2 linked regions of the Bombyx mori genome follow. The protein of the gene in region 1 purifies or fractionates together with the protein of each later gene. This does not show direct contact. Links are inferred from orthologs where the notes say so. Each region holds a gene or a part of one and is shown on either strand. Other genes may lie near its edges. The genes, in order: Golgi SNAP receptor complex member 1 and syntaxin 5A.

Evidence for each region.
Region 2: the proteins of Golgi SNAP receptor complex member 1 (region 1) and syntaxin 5A purify together in Homo sapiens (affinity purification with western blotting; 3 studies listed by BioGRID, with this or other methods). This does not show direct contact. The link is inferred for Bombyx mori from reciprocal best matches to the Homo sapiens genes GOSR1 and STX5.

What each region holds. Positions count from the first base shown.
Region 1 is NC_085122.1:10,011,871-10,015,698, forward strand, and holds part of Golgi SNAP receptor complex member 1, read right to left. Parts: intron 2,212-3,828; coding exon 2,063-2,211; intron 1,120-2,062; coding exon 1,003-1,119; intron 1-1,002. UniProt on the Homo sapiens protein: Involved in transport from the ER to the Golgi apparatus as well as in intra-Golgi transport. It belongs to a super-family of proteins called t-SNAREs or soluble NSF (N-ethylmaleimide-sensitive factor) attachment protein receptor.
Region 2 is NC_085118.1:10,688,653-10,692,923, reverse strand, and holds the start of syntaxin 5A, read left to right. Parts: upstream 1-1,424; 5' UTR 1,425-2,225; coding exon 2,226-2,250; intron 2,251-3,599; coding exon 3,600-3,751; intron 3,752-3,922; exon of another isoform or gene 3,923-4,134; coding exon of another isoform or gene 4,135-4,140; exon of another isoform or gene 4,141-4,174; intron 4,175-4,271. UniProt on the Homo sapiens protein: Mediates endoplasmic reticulum to Golgi transport.

The sequences.
Region 1 (3,828 bases):
GCTGTTCCAATTGCATACAAATTTGAGTTAACTCTTACGCTATCGAGAACGTTAAAAAACTCCCACTAACACACACTGAACAAGTTTTATATTACTTTTGGGAGGACGTCTTGAGAGTCCGCACGGGTAGGTACCACCGCCCTGCCTATTTCTGCCGTGAAGCAGTAAGGCATTTCGGTTTGAAGGGTGGGGCAGCCGTTGTAATGTAAATACTGAGACTTAGAACTCATGTATCAAGGTGGGTTGCGGTGTTCGCGTTGTTGATGTCTATGGTCTTCTATGGGAACGGACCCTTATCCGTTAGACCACAACAACTTAAAAAAACTTTAATCTGTATGTACATGTGTGTGTAGGTTCACCTAAAACTCGAAAAACATTCTAATCGATATGAAACCTCACCCAATATTTATAAGTCGATATGACCAGTCCGAATATAGTTACGTTAGTGACGGATAGGTGGCGCTGGTGACAGTGATTTCTATTTTTTTAACCATAGGTCGAATTGATATGAAATTCATCAATAAATATATAATTCTACTGTACGTGTGTATGTCACTGAACTCTTAAACGGCTGGACCGATTTGAATGATTTTTTTTTGTATGCGTTTATGTGGCACCTTGGATGGTTGATTCACAATTCAACCCGGCAGATGACGTTGCAGTCGGTATCTAGGTTATTTATATATACTGCAACTAAACGGCTGGATCGACTTGAATGAATTTTTGTGTATGCATCATTCATTCATTCCATTTATTTGTGCGTGCAGAATAACGTCTGTCGGGTCTGCTAGTATTTACGAATATATAAGAGAATGTGTGTGTGTGTGTGCGTGCGTGCGTGTGTGTGTGTGCGTGCGTGCGTGTGTGTGTGTGCGTGCGTGCGTGTGTGTGCGTGCGTGTGTGCGTGTGTGTGTGTGTGAAATTATCTAACATAGTTAGCTTCCTGAATTGTCTTATAGCTTTTATGTTTGAAAATAAAAAAATGTTTTAACATTTATTTACCTGTTGGCGATATCGTTGAACCTGGTCTGCATCCGTTTGAAGGTTTGCCGTTGCGAGGAGAGGTGGTCGCGAGCTTCCATCGCTATGTTTATTTGTTCATCGACTAATATGTGGGAACTGAAATGGGAAAACGACCAAATTAATACTCTGGCCAAACAAAAAAGAAAGACAAATACTAAATGTTCAGTTCTAAGAATCAAAATCAAGAGCTGTTCCGAATGTCTATTCATCATCTTTTTATTTATTTATTGCTTAGACGGGTGGACGAACTCACAGTCCACCTGGTGTTAAGTGGTTACTGGAGTCCATAAACGTCTACAACGTAAATACCGCCGCCCACCTTGAGATATGAGTTCTGAGCGGTCAGTATAGTTACACTACTCATTAATATGTAATACGCAGTAATATTCACTGCGCTACTGGTGTAGTAACACTATGACGCACTTTAATCTTCACTTAGAATTGTTTTCTGGTATCGTTTTTTGCGCTTGAATTTAAATTTATTAACTAAACACGTGTCTTATTAATCCTTGCTCGATATAGATTTTTTTAAGGAATTTTAGACCTGGTAACTAAGACCTTTAAGTCATGTCTTATTTTAATTTATATTCTTATTAATATGAAAAATGATTATATGGAGTGAAATGAAATGAAGTCTGAAATGAAGAAAATGAAGCGAATGACTGGGATGATTAATTTCTTAAATTAATCATCCCAGTCATTGAATGTCAAAGTCAAATTAAATGAAATGAGATGAGATGATATGGAATGAAATATAATCTCAGTAAAATGGTGGTCATTTACTGAGATTTTTTCAGTGCACTTTTTGGAGGAACCGGAGAACAACGGCTTTGTCTCTTTCTTGGCTTTATGCACTTTCACAGATATTGAACAGTTAATAAACCACCATTAATTTACATTTAAGCCCGAAGAAACACTAAATAGACAAAATAAAACAAATCACAACGACTTCACTCCTCGCGTTACCGCCAAAAAGTCCCTCGATATAGAGACAACAAAGGCATAGAATATACAAAAAAAGAAAAACCGTATATCACACCTGTGCAAATGGTTGGCTTCCTTCGCGTACTGGTCGCGTCTGCTGAGTCCCGCGGCGGGCGGAGTCGGGGAGCCGCCCCGAAGCAGCTCCTCGCGCTCGCGCCGCGCCGACACGCGGGCTGACGTGCGGGAGTACTCTTGCTGGTAGTCCTGCGAAATTATGGTTTGATACGACGTTTCAGTCACACGTACGTTTTTACTGGTGGCAGAACCTCTTGTGGGTCCGCACGGGCAGGTCCCACCAGGTATTTCAGCCGTGAAGCAGTAATGCGTCGATTTGAAGGGTGGGTCAGCCGTTGTAACTTACGGTAGGCGGCGGCTTGACTCTGCCCCTGGCATTACTGAAGTCCATGGGCGATGGTAACCACTCACCATATCAGGTCGGCCGTATGCTCTCTGCCTACTAAGGCAATAATAAAAAAAATTTTAGACTTTAGAACATGGGCAACAACCGGCTCGCGAGACTTTTTGAAAAAACCCAACGCGAGATCTCATACAACGCGAGACCTCATAGAACGCGAGGCCTACTATAACGCGTTGCCCTCTATAACCTGGGACCTCATACAACGCGGGAACTCATAGAACGCGAGGCCTACTACAACGCGAGACCTTATACAAAGCGGAACCTCATACAACGCGGGACCTACTACAACGCGAGGCCTCATATAACGCGGGACCTCATACAACGCGAGACCTACTACAACGCGAGACCTCATACAACGCGGGACCTCATACAACGCGAGACCTACTATAACGCGTTGCCCTCTATAACCTGGGACCTCATACAACGCGGGAACTCATAGAACGCGAGGCCTACTACAACGCGAGACCTTATACAAAGCGGAACCTCATACAACGCGGGACCTGCTACAACGCGAGGCCTCATATAACGCGGGACCTCATACAACGCGGAACCTCATACAACGCGGGACCTCATACAACGCGGGACCTCATACAACGCGAGATCTACTACAACGCGAGACCTCATACAACGCGGGACCTCATACAACGCGAGACCTACTACAACGCGAGACCTCATACAACGCGGGACCTCATACAACGCGAGATCTCATACAACGCGAGATCTCTTACAACGCGGGACCTCATACAACGCGAGACCTAGTACAACGCTGGACCCCCTACAACGCGGGACTCCCTACAACGCGGGACCCCATACAACGCGTTACCTCATACAACTCGGGACCACATACAACGCGAGCTCTCATACAACGCGGGACTTCATACAAAGCGGAACCTCATACAACGCGGGACCCCATACAACGCGAGGCCTCATATAAGGCGGGATCCAATACAACGCGGAACCCCATACAACGCGGGACCTCATACAACGCGGGACCCCATACAACTCGGGACCACATACAACGCGAAACCTTACACAACGCGGGACCTCATACAACGTGGGACCTCATACAACGCGAGGCCTACTACAACGCGAGACCCACTACAACGAGAGGCCTACTACAACGCGAGGCTTATTGAGGCACTCTGCGGCGCTCCCGTTTGGTGCCGCGCCCTGACCCGCGAAAACATCGCCGTACTGCGATGTTCGCAGCGTGCAATGGCGGTCAGGACGCCATGACACAGTGGATCACACATTGGCGTGCTGCACTAGATTCGACGAGTTTGAAAAGTTTGAAAATGCAGAACTATGGTACGTGAGAGTTTACAGTACCCCTACTATCAGTAAGCTGAGAACTCTGCTTTCCATTATCTGGTGAATACTGTAGACTCCTATTCCAGGTTGAC
Region 2 (4,271 bases), on another chromosome or scaffold:
ACCCGATATCGGCAATTCGGCACACCTACTATTCATTAGACAATCGAGGCAATTTCATTAATTCAGGAGTTTTTTCAATCGTTCACTTTGTCACAACACTATTTTTATTTCATCAAAACCTGACAACACAGTAAACGTCAGTTTACTTCGTCTAATAAAAAATCCCACTATACAGAACATTTATTCATTAATTACAAACGTCATTCCTTGTGACTTCCTCTCTAAAATCACTTAATTATTAAATATTTACCGAATTTACAATAGTGTTTTATTCACTGCGGCATAAAACTATTTTATTTAAATAGTTCCGAAGAGATTTTGTCGGTAGCCTTTTTCCCGAAATATCTAAACAGAATGTCAATAATATGTTTTGATGACATATTTTAAAGAGGTATTTATAATTAGTGTCATGATCAATAGATTCCGACCGAAAAATGATTTTTCGGATGAGGGCTCCGTAATGAATTTAAATATATATAGATAATAGTTTTGGGGCATCGACTTTCTTGAGATCCTATAAAATACGTTTTAATTATTATTTTTGTATGTTTTAAGCATGATAAAATATGAAATTTTATATAAGCAATCATATTAAATCGCAACCCAAAACAGACGGCCGAACTGACGTGACAATGACATTTGGAGCGCTCAACATGGCGGATTTTCGGCCTCATTAGACATTTACGTATATTCATGTTTCATTTTATGTACGCACTGAAATACTGTTATATTATTTTCCTGCGAGTTAAAGTGCTGAGTAAGAACGAGATAGATATATGTTTATGTGTGTGCCTTCAAAATGGGTGCTATTTATATAAGCAATTGTACGTATAGTACAATATGTCGTGTCCCTACTATATAGGTCTATGATAATCTATGATAAAAGTGAACTATAAATGACAGCCCCAAACTAATGAACATTTTCCAAATAAGATATGACCTAAAGGTCTCTGTCACCACGTCATAAAATTAAAAAAAAAAACAAAAATGACAGCGACTTTTTGGCGGGAACGGAGGAGTGAAGTTGTGTGATTTGTTTTATTTTGTCTATTTGGTGTTTCTTCAGGTTTAAATGTGTAATAATGGTGGTTTATTAACTGTTTAGTATCTGTGAAAGTGCACAAATGTGGGAAAATGAAACAAAGCCGCCGGACGTCACTTCTCGGGATCCTCCAAAAAGTCCAACGAAAAAGTCTCAGTAAATGACCACCAATTTACTGAGATTATATTTCATCCCATATCATCTCATTTCATTTCATTTGATTTCATCCCAGTTGATTAATGTCTCAAATTAATCATCTTCATTTCATTTCATAATTTTTCATAAAAATAAGAGTATAAATTAAAATAAGACATGACTTAAAAGTCTTAGCTACCAGGTCATAAAATACCTAAAAAAAGAGAAAAAAAAATGACAGCGACTTTTTGGGGGGAACGTGAGGAGTGAAGTTGTGTGATTTGTTTTATTTTGTCTATTTAGTGTTTCTTCAGGTTTAAATGTGTAATAACGGTGGTTTATTAACTGTTTAATATCTGTGAAAGTGCACAAATGTGGTAAAATGAAACAAAGCCGCTGGACGTAACTTATCGGGATCCTCCAAAAAGTCCACTAAAAAAATTTCAGTAAATAACCACCATTTTACTGAGATTATATTTCATCCCATATCATCTCATCATGAATACTTGTATATTCAATTGTCCTTCGACATGTCCACCACCATTGTCAATACATTGACGGGCAAGTTTCATTAACTCGTTTTTAACGAGAGAAGTGCGCTTCTATGTCTTTTCACTTCGTCAAAAGCGTCCAATATGCGCTGTTTTAATTGTGCGAGCCTAACCGGCTCGCTTCTGTACACACATCTCTTAATTTCACTCCACAAAAGAAGTCCATGGGCGTGAGGTCAGGTGAGCGTGGAGGCCAAGCTACAGGCCCAATGCAGAAAATAATACATTTGCTTCGGTATTGTTCAGTATCCTGATGCAAAATGAAATCCTCGCTACATAATCAACGGTGGTTAATTCCTGAGATTTCCTGTAGTGATATGGATATAATCCGGCCTTATTAACAATCTTCCAGGCACAGGACTGGCTGTTGTTAAACCGTCGAGCAGTGTCATTTGTACTCCGTCGGGGATCCTCTTCAAAATACGCTAGTACATCGTCGTACAGATTTTGTCACAACGCCAGTCTTCCTCGTTCTTGACTATGTGACGGTGCGTGGAATGAACCGTGATCAAGCAAATGCTGGTAAGCATTTACCACGGTTCGCACATTTGGCTGTCGGGCGTTCGGGTACTCTTCCCTGTACATACGTACAGCTGCACTCGCGTTCGGGTATTCTTCCCTGTACATACGTACAGCTGCACTCGCATTTTCTCCACTCAAAAAGTACCCACGAAGCATAGCTACATACTCCCGTGATGTGAACTGATAAGCCATCGCATCAGGGAAAACTTAAACAAACAACTGTTGCAACGAAAAAAAGCATGCGCACACTTCCGCTAACAATTTAGTAGTGTTTAGGTTTTTGTCGTTATTGTTGAGTTGAGTTGACTTGAGTTTCCTGGAATTTATCAATGGAGCAGCGCCCCGTAGATACTAAAACCCTGCCGCACGTACTTTCGGTCATTGATTTAGTTATTTAGCATTTACCAATTATTACGTATTTTTATGGACAGTTCTGAGACTTCGTGTTTTTTTTATTTTTAACTACCATATAATATGATTAGTTAAAGATACTTAGAGCCCAGTTAATTTTTTTGTACTAATTTAAAAATAGTGGTGTATAGTTATAGGACCACGCGCCTGTTATGACAACAAATTTACTGAACATATAATTACGGTAACATTAAGGTTATTATGAGAATTAAATAACTCGCTTTTGGCCCCAAATTTAAAAACGACCCATTGATCATCACACGATATAATCTTTTGATACACACACACATGTTCGTTGGTGTCACTTCTTCGTCATTTAATTTAAATAGTTGGAAGTGAAGAGATCGACCTTCTCTATAGAAACATAAACACATTGTCATTAGTCTGCCAAAAATTGCTAAGACAAACAACTAGGTATACCCACATCAATTCTAACGAAGTGGTACAACAGTTAAATTAATATGCTTTTTGAGATTACATTGAAATGGCTGTTCCAGATGTTTGTATTGTGAAAATTTTGTTGAATATGTTTCAAATGACAGATGAAATTATTATTTTATTTCTATAGAATTTTTACGGCAACAATTTGTTGGCATGAAGAGAAACTAAAATCCATAAAAAGATGAAAATGAAACAGGACTGTAACCCAAAGAGTAAAAAAAGTAGATCTGAGATAAAAAAAAAATTAATTGTATTAATGCCGGCCACTGACATGCGCGCAAATATTCGTACATTGTACGAATGTTTGCGCGCATGTAAAGGGCCGTCAAACATTCATTCGCAAACCTAGCGGCTGTGCAAATGGGTTCGCATACTCAATTTGCGAACCCGTTTGCGCTTCCTCCTACACTTGTTTACGAATGTCTCACGAATTTCTCCTCCTTTTTAATTCGTCAATAGAACATTGAAAAGAAAAAGATTTTTGAATTCTTTCCCAGACATGATTAACAGCCATGCTGTTTTTATGGGATTTCTTTTGATGAAGATACGCTACACAGTAGACGTCACGAACTATGAAAACGGCGTTACCTTCGCAATCGTCGGCGCAACTGGGCAAGCGAATGTGTGGGAGACTACGCGAAGGTTCGAGGTTCGCGCGCTTTGATGTCTGTTAAAAAACCGACACAGCTTGGAAAACCACGAATGCAGCGAAAACTTTGCATAATCATTCGCAAATGTCGTCCTACACTTGCGGGTTTGCGTATTCGTGCGCATGTGAGTGACAGAGTGAGTAATGGACAAACTAAGCCAGAATAGTCTATGACTACCCCTACGTGTTAAGTGTATTATCTATGACTACGTGTCTGGAATCTATCGAGTGATTAAAAATAAAGGATTGTGGGTAGGTACCTACATACCTTATCTAAAAAATGGAATAGTGGGACTTGATAATTTAAAAGATAGATATATCATCGAGTTTTGAAAAGAATCGATGAGATGAAATGATAAATATTGTACACACATGAATGTACTATGAAAGTACGTAATTATTTGAACGCTATTGGTTTTCTAAGTAAGTATTGGAATGTAAAATTGTGAAATACTGCCTCAATTATGTAAATTGTAAGTTTTCATTTTCAAACAAAATATCCCCAATCATTAACAAGTAA